Mytilus edulis: one gene and its partner. Each later gene encodes a partner of the first gene's protein in a complex. Links are inferred from orthologs where the notes say so. Each region holds a gene or a part of one and is shown on either strand. Other genes may lie near its edges.

Region 1 (7,642 bases):
ATTTAGCCAAGTTATCCTTGTATATTTGATCAAGTTCATGATTGAAGTACTGTGACTGATAAGGGTACCAGTCTACAAGTTTGTCATGTCCCTCGTTGTCACATGCAATGTCTTTCAAAATGTCTTGCGTTGACATTGAGACTGAAATATAGTTAAATAATCGTTCACTGAGAGCTTGAGAACATGCACTACCACCATGTCCATCATAAACACCGAAAATGTACTTGTTTTTATCTCCATGAGTCAACTTTGCTACTGTGTCACGATCTTCAATTGGTTTATTTGCTGGTAATTTATTCACTTCAAAGTTTTTAATAGGACCATCTGCATCCACTGATACTTCATTTATTTTCAATATCGATGAGACTTGTTTTCGAGTCAACAGTGCGACGTCTGAACTTAAATACCCATGCCTCTGTTTAAATTTTAAGAAAAATCTTCTAACGCTTTCAATTTGTCCTTTCGTATGAACTTCTTCAAAAGGTTGTGAAAAAACTTTTTTCTTCAAACCTATATCAATCCTCTTCAGAGGACAAGTTCTTAACATTCTGTTTTGCACGAAACATAAGTCACTCGATCTTGTCCTTTTCGGTTTCGACTGCTTTGCTTGTCAACCTTACTCAAGGGGTTAGTCTCCCTTTAACAGGAGCATGCAGTATAATCACTGATCAGAACTCTAATAAATCTCATTAATTACCGAAAAAGGGTAACACTGGAAGAAGAACAGCACGACCCACTGTAATATTCGCCCTACTTTTTCAACAACTCGTCCCACTTTGTAAAAAATCGCCCTGTCTGGAACCAACTCGCCCAAATTGAGCCGCACTGGCTCGTCTCAGTTATGAAAAACGGTTAAGGTTGGATTGTAAAAATTAGAGAACATAGCAGGTCCTGATTTTCAATCAAGTTAGCAAAATTTGATGCAGGAATGAAGATAACTAATGTGAATGTTCATGTAAAAGAACAAATGTATAAGATTCTAAGATGAAATAGTGCATTTTCTTAAGGAATCTACATGGAATTTTCCTATTTTGTATTTTAGTCGTGGAAAACACACGGGTTTTTTCCGAGTTATGGTATTCTCAAAGCATTTTCTAAAAGCTATCTTATCGTATTTAATTTTACAATTCTATCATTTAGTTTAGCTTCTGAGCATAATGTTTTTCCTGTATACATAATTCATAAATCCCTTCCACAGTTGGAGTAAAACATTCTAAGCCCTACCTTATTTTCTTTTTATATAAATGATTTAACCTCAATGTTTGATAACACATGTGATCCTGTAACATTGCATGACATAAAATTGTCTAGTATGACTTAGTATTAATATCAGAATCTTCAGAATGTTTACAAAATTGTCTTAACAAGTTAAACACTTATTGTGAAAAATGGAACTTGACTGTCAATCTTGACAAGACAAAAACAATGATATTTAATAAAAGTGGTAAAAAACTTACTAAAGACAAGTTTGTATTGAATAATGAAGTAATTGAATGTTGCACAGAATATAAATATTTAGGTATACTATTCAAGCCATCAGGATTTTTCACTAATGCTGCAAATATCCTCTGTAAAAAAGCATTGTTTTGTATTAAAAAAATACTCTACTCAGATAAGATGGATGTTTTTCCCCATATGAAACTGTTTAATTCCTGTGTTAGCCCAATATTACTGTATTGCAGTGAGATATGGTCGCTAAATATTGTGAAGAACAATAAAACTCTTAAATCTCAATACTTATCTATGGAATCAGTAAAACTCCAGATCAAATTTTCAAAAGGTCTTCTAAATGTTAATTCAAAGGCAGTAAATACAGCTGTATTAGCTGAATTGGGAATGTACCCTATTGGTATACAGGCCCTTAAGTCTTCTGTAGGATTTTGGTTACATATTTTAAAGTCAAATGAAAATGAGTCTTTATTATATAATGTTTATAAAGCTAACAAGCAGTTAAATGATGGATTTGCTTCAAAAGTAAAAATCATAGGCGGATCCAGGGGTGGGGGGCTGGGAGGCCCGGGCCCCCCCTTTTCGTGGGAAAAATTTGGTTGCTAATATAGGAAATCACTGAAGCATGACTGGATCCCCCCCCCCCCACCCCTTAGGTCAGTCAGCTGGTCCCCCCTTATGAAAAGTTCTGGATCCGCCACTGAAAATGCTACTTTCAAAATTGAATTTCACTCATGTTTGGGAAAATCAATGTACCTTTTCTAAAAAAAAGATTACTTTTAGCCGTCGTGAGAGAAGCTCAATGAAAATTACATTACATTTTGGAAAAATTGTCTCTTTAATGATGATAATTCAATAAATGGAAATAAACTAAGAACCTACAGAAAATTTAAAGTAAAGTGTGAACTAGAAAAGTACCTTTTATTGAAATAGATAAAAATGTTACAAAAAATTATGCTAAAATAAGAATAAGGAATAGTATACTGGCTATTGAACGCGGTAGATACAACAAAACAGCTTTAGAAAATAGAATATGTCCTTTATGTCATAAAGAGGTGGAAGATGTATTTCATTTTATCATTATGTTCAGAAATTAATAAAACTAGATCAAAATGTTGAATGAAATTTCTAGTATTGTCCCCAGTTTTAATTCAATGAGTGAAGAAAACAAATTTGATTTTATATTTTCCTGCGAAGAATGTGATATTTTACTTATCATTGTTAACTATATAAGTGAAATGTATAATGAGAGAAAAAAATATAATGTCAATATATGATCTGTGTAATTGGTGGCCCAACTTATAATGTTATGACGTTATGCGCTATGTTCGTACATGTAAGCGTAACACAACGTCCCGAATATTTCGTAACGTTCAAACCAAAACTTCGACTAAAACGTTGTTTTTAAGCAAGTGCGACATTCTTGTAAGACTCCGCAAAATCGTCGGTGCTTTTTAACTACTTATTGAAAATTGATGTATTTTAGTTTTTGAAAAATTAAGAAAAATAACATTTTCAAAAATCATAAAATTCTACCATTAAAAGAGCACTGATAAGCAAACAATTGACGTAAATTTGAGGTGAGTTCGTTTTTACGTCAAAAAATGGCAGTGCGACAACCTTGTAAGCCTTTGAAAAATCGCTCATAAATTACCATATATCATTTTTCTGGCCATGATATTTGTCTTTAACTTCATAAAATTAAGCAAATTAACATTGATGTAGTAAAAACAAACACTACACTAACCCATTTCCATTTTAGATAAATGTTTTTTAATTCTCAAATCTGGAATCCAAATTTTTTTCCCCGTGGGACAGGTTTGCCCTTGTAGTATGGATCTTTTTTTCTATTGCGTCATTATAACGTCATAAAGAATGCATAACAAACTGAAGGAACCTTTATGTTAAATAATGGGAAAAAAAACGTTTTTCAAAATATTAAATAGTTTAGACGAAAATCATAGTTTAGTGGTTACAATAAATGAAATATGTTACGCGGGACAGCCTAAAAATAGCCGGTTTTTTTAAATGAAGCTTGTCGCATGCAGCATTAAACATAGTTTCAACAATTATTTTTTTCGTTTTTATTTTAAAAAACATTATTTTTTCAAAAATTCGTACAATAGCAATGAATGTGATATCACAAAACTATATATTTTGGACTTGGATCTTGCCAACTACACCGATTTTCCAATGAGGTACGAACATCGCGCGTGACGTCTATAAATGAAATGTATAATGAGAGAAACAATTATAATGTCAATATGAACTGTGTAATTGATGGCCCAACTTATAATGTTATATATATATATAAGCATAATATTTGAATTGATAATTTGAAAGAGGAGACATGCTGTCAAAAATAGTATTATAGTTAATATTAATAACTTTTTTTTTTCAATGCTACATGTTTGTAGTGTTTAATGCCTAGTTTTGTAATTAATATGCCTGTCTGTCTGTTTCTTTGTTTTTGTTTTTGTTTTGTATTTTAGTAACAATCCTATTGTTTGGATTTTAGACTAATAAAATTCTTATTCTTATTATAAAATGTGTCATTTTGTCAAAACCTGTAGCTTGAGCAAATGCGCTGTGACCTATCATTCTTATCCTATTTTTTTTTTTTAAAACATTTATCAACATGAGACTGATGCTTTATTACTATAGTTTTAACTTTTTGTACTATTTCTATCTAATTCTAATCTGAGAAAAAAACCACATGTGTTACAGAAGTCTCAATAATAAATTATCAATCTTTCATACCAGCCAACTTTTCAAAATGCCCATGGGGGTTTTGCGTGCAAGATGGCTGTCATAGTCCTAAAAAACCATAAACGGGGCCTGCAAATACATTTAAGGTAGTTTTTTGGCTTCTTCATACTTTTATAAGCCTAAAGTTATTGTAAAATTAATTTTTTTGTTTAAATTTTGGACAAAATTGCTCTTTCAAAATTTTAATTTGGGAGCCTCCATGGGGGAAATCCCCCACAAATAGTGACAGTTGACAGGTATGAATTTTCTTTAAATTCTATCTTGAACATGAAGCAATTATGTACGTTTTCGAATATTCGTGTTGGTATTTGTATATTTGGTAATCGGATATTGTTTGAGTGATTCTGGTTATAATCAATACTACTGTTGATTATTGGCTGCATAGTACTACAATTATGTAAAGCAATTTCGACAGAAGAAAATAAATATAAAATGGCACGACTTTTCAGAAATTTTCGCTTTGTATTACAAGTTGTGAACAGCACAACTCAGTCAACTAAGAGATATTTACAGGCGAATGTGACTGACAATGCTCAGAAAGTTGCAGTTGCAGGTATACAGCCATTACATGTGTCAAAAAGACATTGAAAGATACATACACGTTGTTTCATAATGTTCATGGAACTCTTAAAATTAAGATATTAAAAATCATCAATTTAGACAGAATAAGTAGACTGATAGCAATATAGATCTTGTTAAAGAACATGACATGTACATTTACACACCAATATAAATATTTGTTTTGATTTGTATCGTCTCGTATTTCAACGTATTGTGTTTTCGACGATCTTACGTTTTCGACCTAATTCTACTTTCACTTCCTGTATGCAGTTCATGCCCATGTGACGTCATATTCGGCTGCTATTCTTAGTAAGAATAAGAATAGCAAATGATAACATGTGTGGTGAAAATTTTCTTAATAAAGTTATTTTAATTAAGTATTTACGTTTTTTTTTATTTTATATTACATTTTTGTACCCTTTCCCTAATACACCTTATCGCTATTTGTCCGCCATTACTGGATATCACATAGGTTCCTGTAAAATTTTGACGTCAGGCCACAATTAAAAATATTTCAGTTTGCCCAAACCCGACCCATGATGACTGGGTCTGGGTACGTAGGTTGGCAAATTCTTTTTTTTTTTTTTCAGAATTTGCATGAAAATATGAAAAGGTCTTAAAACAGTACATCTTTTTTTTCCGTCAAACCTTTGTAGAGTCAACCAAAAGCCATGAATTTAAAACCTCTATAAATAAATTAGTCTACTTTATATCCTGAGATGTTTATAACCCTGACTGTGTGAAAGGGTTGGTGGATTTATGAAGTGATTTTCAACAGTTACATCAACAAGATGTTTGTGAAAAAAAAATATCAGCTGATGTATGTAATAATTTAATTTGTTTGCAGTTTTTAAATCCTATATCTTTTAAAATAGATTAAATGTCCTAAAATATTTTATATGAATTATTATCTACCATCCATAGTTTCTGTCTTTTTATGTTTTGAAAACAAATTTATATTTTTACATTATCACACAGGTAAACTAATTTGGCTATAAATAGACCAAAACATGTTCTGTAGAATCTCCAAACTAAAAACGTATTTGTTATAATTTTATTTCTTTAAATAATCAAGTTTAAATTTTTGAAAATAATCATTATTGATAAAATATAATTGCATAAAGTTAACAATTTCTGAAGACTATTTATTTTTAGGTCATGGTTCTAGAGGCTTCCTCACAAATTTGTATAAAAATCCAACCATATCATGTGTTTACTTTTGCACATGTGAAAAAAATATTTCTGACAAAAGCCAGATTTTTCTTGTCAAAGGGGATTTATATTGCACTAAATTATTCAGAAAGAGTTACATTCAGTTAAGATTATATTTCTTATTCTGTGAGCAATTATAGTTTAATCAAATTCTCCCAAACAGCAACTTATTGATTTTGTCAACTGAGGCTTGTAAATTTGAACTATTTGAATAAAAGGGCATCTAATTCACATGATAAAGGAAGATTATAATTAAAGACAACAATTTATCAAGAAGTAATCCCTTTTTATTCAATAAATACAAAATCTTCTTGCAAGATTGTAAATTCGCAACTTCCGGATCCATTTCCTGTCAGAGTAACATTGAAAATATTCGATTGCACATGGTTTTGAACAAATCTACCTGAATATTCTTATCAGATCTTCGATTACACGATGAAATTAACATTGAGCATATAGGTAAGGGTTTGGTAGTACAGACAACTACAGCGTAAAACAAAAACTGTGCCACTTCACATTTTTCACTTCTTTACGTTCGTTAAATCAGAAGATAAAAACAGAGAACATGGAAGATCAATTAACTGCGTCTCTTATGCGCTTTCTTTTAATCTCATTCACAGTTACTTTCAAACGCAAAGATAACAAACATTAAGTTTTATACAATGACGGAGCGGACATGAAAAGAATCCGCAAAAAAAAAATCTTCTAAAAAAACGTCAAAAAAAGAATTTGAGTCGGCGGGTTTATTTTGGGTCGGTCGCGTTTGGGCAAACATACAATCTTTTTATTTTGGCCTCATAAAACATAAATATCTGACGCCACAATGGAAAAGTGATTGTTGTATGCGTCTAAAGTTCAAGCGGCTGGGTCAGCCAGGTTTAGCGATAAGGTGTATACCTTCCAAAAGAATCAATCTAAAATAAACATTTAATGAATGTGTATTATATCTAATTCACATGATAAAGGAAGATTATAATTAAAGACAACAATTTATCAAGAAGTAATCCCTTTTTATTCAATAAATACAAAATCTTCTTGCAAGATTGTAAATTCGCAACTTCCGGATCCATTTCCTGTCAGAGTAACATTGAAAATATTCGATTGCACATGGTTTTGAACAAATCTACCTGAATATTCTTATCAGATCTTCGATTACACGATGAAATTAACATTGAGCATATAGGTAAGGGTTTGGTAGTACAGACAACTACAGCGTAAAACAAAAACTGTGCCACTTCACATTTTTCACTTCTTTACGTTCGTTAAATCAGAAGATAAAAACAGAGAACATGGAAGATCAATTAACTGCGTCTCTTATGCGCTTTCTTTTAATCTCATTCACAGTTACTTTCAAACGCAAAGATAACAAACATTAAGTTTTATACAATGACGGAGCGGACATGAAAAGAATCCGCAAAAAAAAAATCTTCTAAAAAAACGTCAAAAAAAGAATTTGAGTCGGCGGGTTTATTTTGGGTCGGTCGCGTTTGGGCAAACATACAATCTTTTTATTTTGGCCTCATAAAACATAAATATCTGACGCCACAATGGAAAAGTGATTGTTGTATGCGTCTAAAGTTCAAGCGGCTGGGTCAGCCGGGTTTAGCGATAAGGTGTATACCTTCCAAAAGAATCAATCTAAAATAAACAA
Region 2 (7,784 bases), about 82 Mb from region 1:
AGAAAAAACAAAACTTCAATTTTTGATGAAAAATTTTGAGACATAGTTTTCATAAACATGATAAATGCTTTATTTGAAATTCAACCAAATAATTATTGATCAGATTATCCTAGATTTGCACATTATTCTCTAAAAATATCAACCCTATATATCACCATTATCATGTGATTATACATATTCTAAGCCAACACAGCAGATAATCAATTCTATGTTTTATTCATACATGTCGGATGAACTTTTTTTTGTGCATAAATTTTAAATATGTCTGTGTCATTGGAGACAAATCTTAAAATAGACAGTTTAATAATCTCATGAACTCGCACATTTTTAATCCAAAACTGCTTTCCATTTTACATAAAAGAACTGACCAAGAAAAAAAACGTTTTCATGAACATTTGATTTCCAACATGGTTTCAAAGTTTGCATACAAGCCTATACAAAATTTTTACTTACTAGTTTCAAACATTTAAATTCGTTATCCTTAAAATCCTCAAAAAAATTGATATCCCATGCATAATGACTATGTATCCTCAGTTCTTTCTCAACAAAATATCAATTTGAATGTATTTACAAGGATAGTGATTAATATGCAGTGAAATAGTCGTTACATTTATAAGTTCATTTGTGCAGTGTCAGGCTGTGGTTTAAAAAAAAAAGGGGCATCTAACTTTTGTTGATCAGGAGTGACCCCTGAAAATAGCTGAAGTGAAATTTTGAACTATAATTCTTGATTCCTGTCCTTGTCTTCATATTTTAGCATCCCATCAGTCAATTCATGCAATAACTGCCTACATTAGCAATCCTAAGGCCTTCAAAAATATTCCTAGTCATTGAAGGATACATATATTAATTTCAGATCGTTTTTTATTGAGAACATCATCGATCTGTATAACTTATGTTTCTTTTAATTATATGTATCCTAATTTTTGTCAGTTTATTGTCTCAATACTGTAAGCTTAAACCATGCACCTTTAATGTAAATGGGTGTTTTGCTTATAATTATTGTCTATTGTCTATATTATAGTATACATCTTCCATTCATTGTGTTTACCTTAAATCAAATTACAATAAGACTATTTTGACCAATCACAGTGAAATTATAACTATTAAAGTTGATGCTTACATTATCTGAAAATGACTGTTTGGTGACTGACGACAAAGGGCATTCTAGTCCAAATAATTTTGACGTCTGGCAAGGCTATTTTACTTTTTTTCTGGGAAGCCTTCCAAAGACGTCATAATTATTTGGACTAAGACCTTACGGATCTCCTGTAGTTGGTGATCGCAATACTGGTATACCACAATACTGGTATAAAAATTTTGTACCAGTATTGTATTCCAGTATTGTACCAGTATTGTGCTTTTTTTAAATAAACAATATAGGTAATTAATCTTTATAAAGGTGTCACATATATGCATAATGAAATTAACATATGACATGACAATTTTATTAGGAATGATTGTGTTTAACTGATGATGCCATAGATGGTACACTGTGATTGGCATCAAATAAAGTTTTAAATCTTCTGATGTTTTTTTCTTAACCTTTCTGTCTCAGCATTTTAACAAACTCTGTACTTTCTTCTATGTTTTCTTTCAGCTCTCTCTCTTTCCAAGATTCATGTAGTATATTTTAGTGAATTTTATATTGACATTAATGCTGTTATAGCTTCTGTATCATCAGCATTGGTATTTCTTCTTCAGATGTGATTTCTGCAACCCCTCCCCCTTCCTATATTGGTATTCAGGTATTCAGTCTCTGTGGACTTTCTCTAACGCTTACTAGATTACAAGCTATTTCAGATAGCATTTGTATAGCTCTCTAACTGTCAGAATGCTGGTCTAGTATTTGTACCAGTAGATATACATGTATCTGCTACTAATTGTATTGTCCATGGTTCTGAATCAACTGCTTCAACCCTTAACATTTATGTAGACAAACTAGTTAATTTGATTATAACAAGGTTCCCCTATAAAGCAACTTTTTATAATTAATTAATTATGTTGATATCTTTTGTTGTGAAAGATTAATAAGAAAATAAAGACAAACAAATGCATATGATCTTAGTACACAAAAAATGTATACATGTATTAAAATATCTGTCAAAATATGTGATGGCATACATGTAAATGCTGAATTTACAGTGTTAGAGTCTAATAATTTGCTTGAATTTATTAAATTATTGCTCAGATAATAATAAGCTTTTATTTTATTTTATCTATATTAAATTAAATAAAATATAGAAATAAGATAAAATTATTAGCAATTGTTTAAATAATAATGATGATATGAGTTAATTTCAATAATCCTTTGTTTATTTGTGCAAGTATAGTAATGACTTTTAACTGGTTGCTAATTGATTTCACAATTATCCTCTATAATCTTTTTGAGTTCCATTTAATCTCCCTTTGATCTTCAATATAGTCTAGTCAACAATACAACTACAATACTGGTATATCAGTAATGTACCAGTATTGCTGGGTTTTTTTTTATAAAAAGTAACAATACTGGTACAAAATTTTTATACCAGTATTGTGGACAATACTGGTATACCAGTATTGTGATCACCAACTACTGGAGATCCGACCTTACTAAGGGCAATCCTACCCTCAATTATGGAAACACTGTAATGGTGTCGAATTGATTAGCCAAGAGGGGAAATGACATTAAATAAGTAACGATTTGAATAGGTGTCTTTTTGACTAAATGACGAATTGACTTCTTCTATCAGTGCCGAATTGACCATGTGCCGATTTGACCTGTCCATGAGAGATAAGCCGATGAATTTAGAAAAAAATGGAATCTAGAAAAAATGAGAGGAATATCGGACGAAAAAGGTGCAAACGATCAAATTATTTCACAACTAACCTATAGTTGTACGATGTAAACTTTTTACTTTCTTGAAGTATTTGCTTATATAAGGCAAGCGCTTTTGATCTTGAACCCATGTTTTTAATTTTCGGTCTTTGGTTATCTCCCTTTATATTTGACTAATTTTAGAGTCGACTCCCGAAAGGACTTGTATTTTTGGTAAACAACAACATGGAATCGAAAGTTGAATATTAGCTACTTTTAACTATTACAGTAACATCATAGTATTACATGTATGACATTGTTTCATGTTTGATTTTTTTTTCTCGAAGACTCATTGTTTGCGTTTCATCATGTTCATTGTGATAGAGACCTATTTTTCAGCCAACCATGTTTGTATCGAAAGAAAAATATACTATCTGTCAACTGACCTTGTGATTTTGGCAGCACATACCATTCAGCCTGAATTTCGGATGCAGTCATTTTTAAAAGGGAGTAACCCAAGATAAAAGAGGGGCTCCAACTTGCCCCCATTCACTAGTCCAAATAATTATGACGTCTTGAAAGGCTATTATAATTTTTTTCTTTGACGCCTTACATCGACGTCATAATGCTGAAGCCGCCATTTTCGGTTGGCGTCAAAGAAAAAAATTATAATAGCCTTTCAAGACGTCATAATTATTTGGACTACCCATTCACATGCATTGATTTAAAAATAAAAGGGGGGTCCAACTCATCCCAGCCCCCCCCCCCCCCCCCCCCCCCCCAACCACCACCACCACCACCACCTGGAGTCTGCCCCTCTGCAACCGGTAATGCCTCTGAATGATGCATACTCCTTTTAGATTATTTTTTGGCTATGGTCAAGTAGAACCGGTAATGCCTCTGAATGATGCATACTCCTTTTAGATTATTTTTTGGCTATGGTCAAGTAGAATGTATCATTCTTTGCAAATATTAGTTCAAATAATTATGAAGACTTGAAACAATGATAAGCTAATAGCAAGTCAACAGTTCTGTTTTTAGCTCTTCCCATCTCTAACTAGAAGTGCAAAAAGTTCAGATGACAGTTTCAGAAAATAAATTGAATATCAACCTCTAGTGTTGTTGTGATTCAAAAAAATCTTTTTATACACAATAATCTCGTCATAGCGTTATAAACAGACAAAAATCTCGTCATAGAGTTATAAACAGACAATCAGGTGTTTTAAATTGCCTCATTCTGACAAACACACAAACACTCAGCAGTGGAAATAGAAACAATGATTCAAATTCAATGACAACAATAATTCACCAGTAGACATGGGGTAGACAACCTGAAGATTCACCCTTCTATAACCTCCCTTATATTGGCAGTCAGCCATTAAAGACAAAGATTGTATTGGATCATAAATATTAAGTGCATCGTAGACATCTAAATATTCTCTGTGGAGTAAGAGAGATATCTCATAAATCTTGAAAGGCTCTTATACTTCATGTACTTTTTTGCTTTGAAGCCTTACAACAAGGCTGTAAGCATTGTAAGGTGTCAAGGCAAAAAAGTATAATTGCCTTTCAAGACGTCATAATTTTTGGACTATGCAAATACATGTATCTGATTTAGACGTTCACAGTGCCCTCTTGATGAAGTTTATTTCCTAGAAATATGCAGTGACTCACTAGATGTTGGCAATTTAAACTTTTGTATTAGCATGATTAGGAAACTTTAAAAGGAAACAAGCCGTCTAATTTTTATTTTGAGATCATTTAAATATATTGGAGTGTAGTGTGTGGTAAATTTTAACTTGAACTAGAATACAGTTTTTATCTAGGAATGCTAGGGGTCAGCTGAGGACCACCTCCAGGTGCAGGAATTTCTAGCTGCGTTGAAGACCCATTGGTGCATGGCCTTTGGCTGTTATCTACTCATTGGTCGGGTTGCTGTCTGTTTGACATGTTTCCTATTTCTATTCTCAATTTCATCTGTTTCACATTACATACTAACATGTATTTTGATTCACAAGGTCGACAAATTAAGCTATATATTCCCCCAAAAATGTCTTCACAATGTCAATGAATTTAAAATTTGCAGCAATACATTCAATATGCAGGCCTGACACTGATTTTTTGAATATTTTGTAGATTTCAATTATCCACATATAATTTAAGTTCATACAGGCCAAACATGCTTAAAACTGTAAATTCAGAAATTATTGAGAGGTTTTTATTATTGCAAAAAAATGCTATGTATATACAGGTACGTTATAATCACAATATTTTAAACTAGCATTTTATAAAAAAAATTTATATGAATTAAACAGGATTTTTCTCTGTATCCCGAAAGGTAAAAATCACATTTTAGTCTAAAATGACAAAATCCCAGTAATAAACATGATAAATGCACACAATAATTTTTGAATTTGCAGTAAGTAGTAGTTTTATAACATGTATAAGTCTTGTAAATAAATAGAGTCAAAATTCATACATTGGCTGCACTGGCCAAGCATGAAAACTGCTTAAATGCAGCTCATTTTTCGTTATCATGTACATGATGTATGTCAATTTTTTTTTATTATTTTATTTTCAACATTTAAAACATATACATGACATACATACATATATTATACAATGTCATTATTAAAGATACACCATAATTGGAAATATTTTTTCTATAGAATAGATCAAAAGAAAAAATTCTAAAAAGTATAAAAATTGATAAATAGTAATGATTAATAGACATGATAGATAGGATTACAGGAGTTCAAAATAAAGGAAAAAATAGAAAAGAAAAAGACAAGACAAAATTTAAAAAAAAATGGAATATCTAGCTACATCCTTATCTATATTTTTTTTTAATTTTTAAATGTTACATATTCATGTTGATAACTATTTGCTAAATTAACTAGACATATTTCTTTTGTAGTAGCCATCAACACAGGCCAAGGACATTTACATGACAATAATATTTTCCTTATTTTAAAATAGATTATAAGTAAATAGTCATTAGTACATTGTAGTAATAGTCAAATGTTCATACTTTCCATTTAAAAACAATTGTAGCTACAAATGGGGTCAAACTAGTTGCTGATTACATACATACATGTACATACATACATACATGTATACACTAGTCATTTATAGCTTGCTGCTCAGTCAGTGTAAGCCAAGGCTCTGTGTTTAAGACAATACTTTGACCTATTATAATAAGGAGATTTGTCTCAATTGGCACTCATTCCATATCTTCTTATATCTATGTAAACAAAAACTGTAAATTAGAAATTTCTTATTGATCTTATGAGAAAAGTTATTTTATTCTATATTTCAGGATTATTTTGGTACCAAGATGATTTGTCCAGTCTTACATGCCACATTGAAACATTCATTAAGAAGATTTCAGTTGATCAGGTGTTGTTATTGCACAAGTCCAAAGTTATCAGAGAAAAATGGTACAATTGAATTGTTAGGAAAGACTTATAAAACTGATCATGTAACAAATATTAGATCAAGCTTAATACCAAAAATTGGAATTGGTTTACATAATATGAAACACCATCCTTTAAATTTATTAAAACAACAAATAGTTGATTACTTTTACAAGAATTTTATAAATCGACAGAAAAATCCTGTGTTTTCTGTATATGACAGTATCAGCCCAGTTGTAACGTTGCATCAGAATTTTGATAGTTTATTAGTGCCAGAGGATCATGTCAGTAGGAAAGTGTCTGAGAGTTTTTACCTGAATTCCGAGTACATGTTACGTGCTCATACATCAGCACATCAAAGTGATTTAATAAGAACTGGACTGAATGCCTTCCTTGTATTTGGTGATGTGTATAGGAGAGATACTATTGATTCAAGTCATTATCCAATTTTCCACCAGGCAGAAGGAGTAAGACTTTATAGAGGCCAGGAGGTAAGCAGAAATAAATTTCTAAATATTCTAACCTTTTTATAATTGACACATTTTGAGTGAAATATTTGACTTTAGAGACAGTAAGGTTAAGCATGAGTCAAAGAGCGGTGGTGTAGTAGTTAGTGCATCAGACTACAAACACAAAGGTTCCAGGTTCAAATCCCTTTTTTGGGTGAAAATTTTAGGGACCGAATTTTAGGCTCTCCCTTGACACCATTTGTGAGTATGTTCTTGAGGAAACGATGATAGTCTGTGGGAAGGGGACAATAAATGGCGGACCCGTGTTGAAAGAGAGCCATATCTCTTGCATGTTAAAGACACCCTTGTAGACTTCAAAAAAGAGCTGGCTTATGCCACTACAAGGCAGCACTCCCACCTGTAAAGTGGAAAGGGATTAATATAAGTTGCAGAACTTGTTTCCCAATCCAGGATAAATAAATATGTTTAAACTAAGTCATGTATCAATAAAAATAATAATAATATAATAACATGTAAATGTCACATCTCGATTCATAGTTAGCTGCTTAAACAGGAAGGTTCATTTGCTTTGATTTAGAGGTAATACCAACTTATCATAGTACGTCACATCCCATAACAAAAGAAAAGGGTTGAAAAAAAATATTCCCTTGAACTTGACCTTGGAATCACATTATAAATTTACTTTTGTCTGTGTGTGACAAGTGTCAACTTTTGTTTTTAGCTTAAAAATGGTATTAGTGTCAAGCAGATGTTTTTTGCACTACATAGGGGGTCACTACATGATTGTATTAACTCTTCTCATACTATTTTTAATTGAACAATTTTAACTTGCAGCTTTTTTCCAAAATGAACATTACTGGTGATTACCAGATTTTTGAAAATGGTGAAAAAAATGAAACCAAACAGCCATTGCACACGAAAGAAGCTGTGATGATCCTGGAACATGAATTAAAATCTACTTTAGAAAATCTTGCTTTTAAGTTGTTTGGAAAAGGTTTGTGTATAGCAATATATGTAAAGAGTTATATTATCATGTTTTATCTTCATACAGAGGGGACAATACAGATGTGACATTGCACAATATATACGTAGATTACTTTT

The links.
Region 2: cysteine desulfurase-like (region 1) and LYR motif-containing protein 4-like share a complex: the UniProt entries of both Drosophila melanogaster proteins name them as parts of the mitochondrial core iron-sulfur cluster (ISC) assembly complex. The link is inferred for Mytilus edulis from reciprocal best matches to the Drosophila melanogaster genes Nfs1 and bcn92.

Annotation. Positions count from the first base shown.
Region 1 is NC_092348.1:85,717,164-85,724,805, reverse strand, and holds the start of cysteine desulfurase-like, read left to right. Parts: upstream 1-4,594; 5' UTR 4,595-4,650; coding exon 4,651-4,771; intron 4,772-7,642. Other genes in the region: pyruvate dehydrogenase [acetyl-transferring]-phosphatase 1, mitochondrial-like, read right to left, coding at 1-547. UniProt on the Drosophila melanogaster protein: Catalyzes the removal of elemental sulfur from cysteine to produce alanine. It supplies the inorganic sulfur for iron-sulfur (Fe-S) clusters.
Region 2 is NC_092348.1:3,985,603-3,993,386, reverse strand, and holds the start of LYR motif-containing protein 4-like, read right to left. Parts: upstream 3,006-7,784; 5' UTR 2,950-3,005; coding exon 2,870-2,949; intron 1-2,869. Other genes in the region: phenylalanine--tRNA ligase, mitochondrial-like, read left to right, coding at 6,135-6,704, 7,518-7,677. UniProt on the Drosophila melanogaster protein: Stabilizing factor of the core iron-sulfur cluster (ISC) assembly complex that regulates the stability and cysteine desulfurase activity of Nfs1 and participates in the [2Fe-2S] clusters assembly on the scaffolding protein IscU.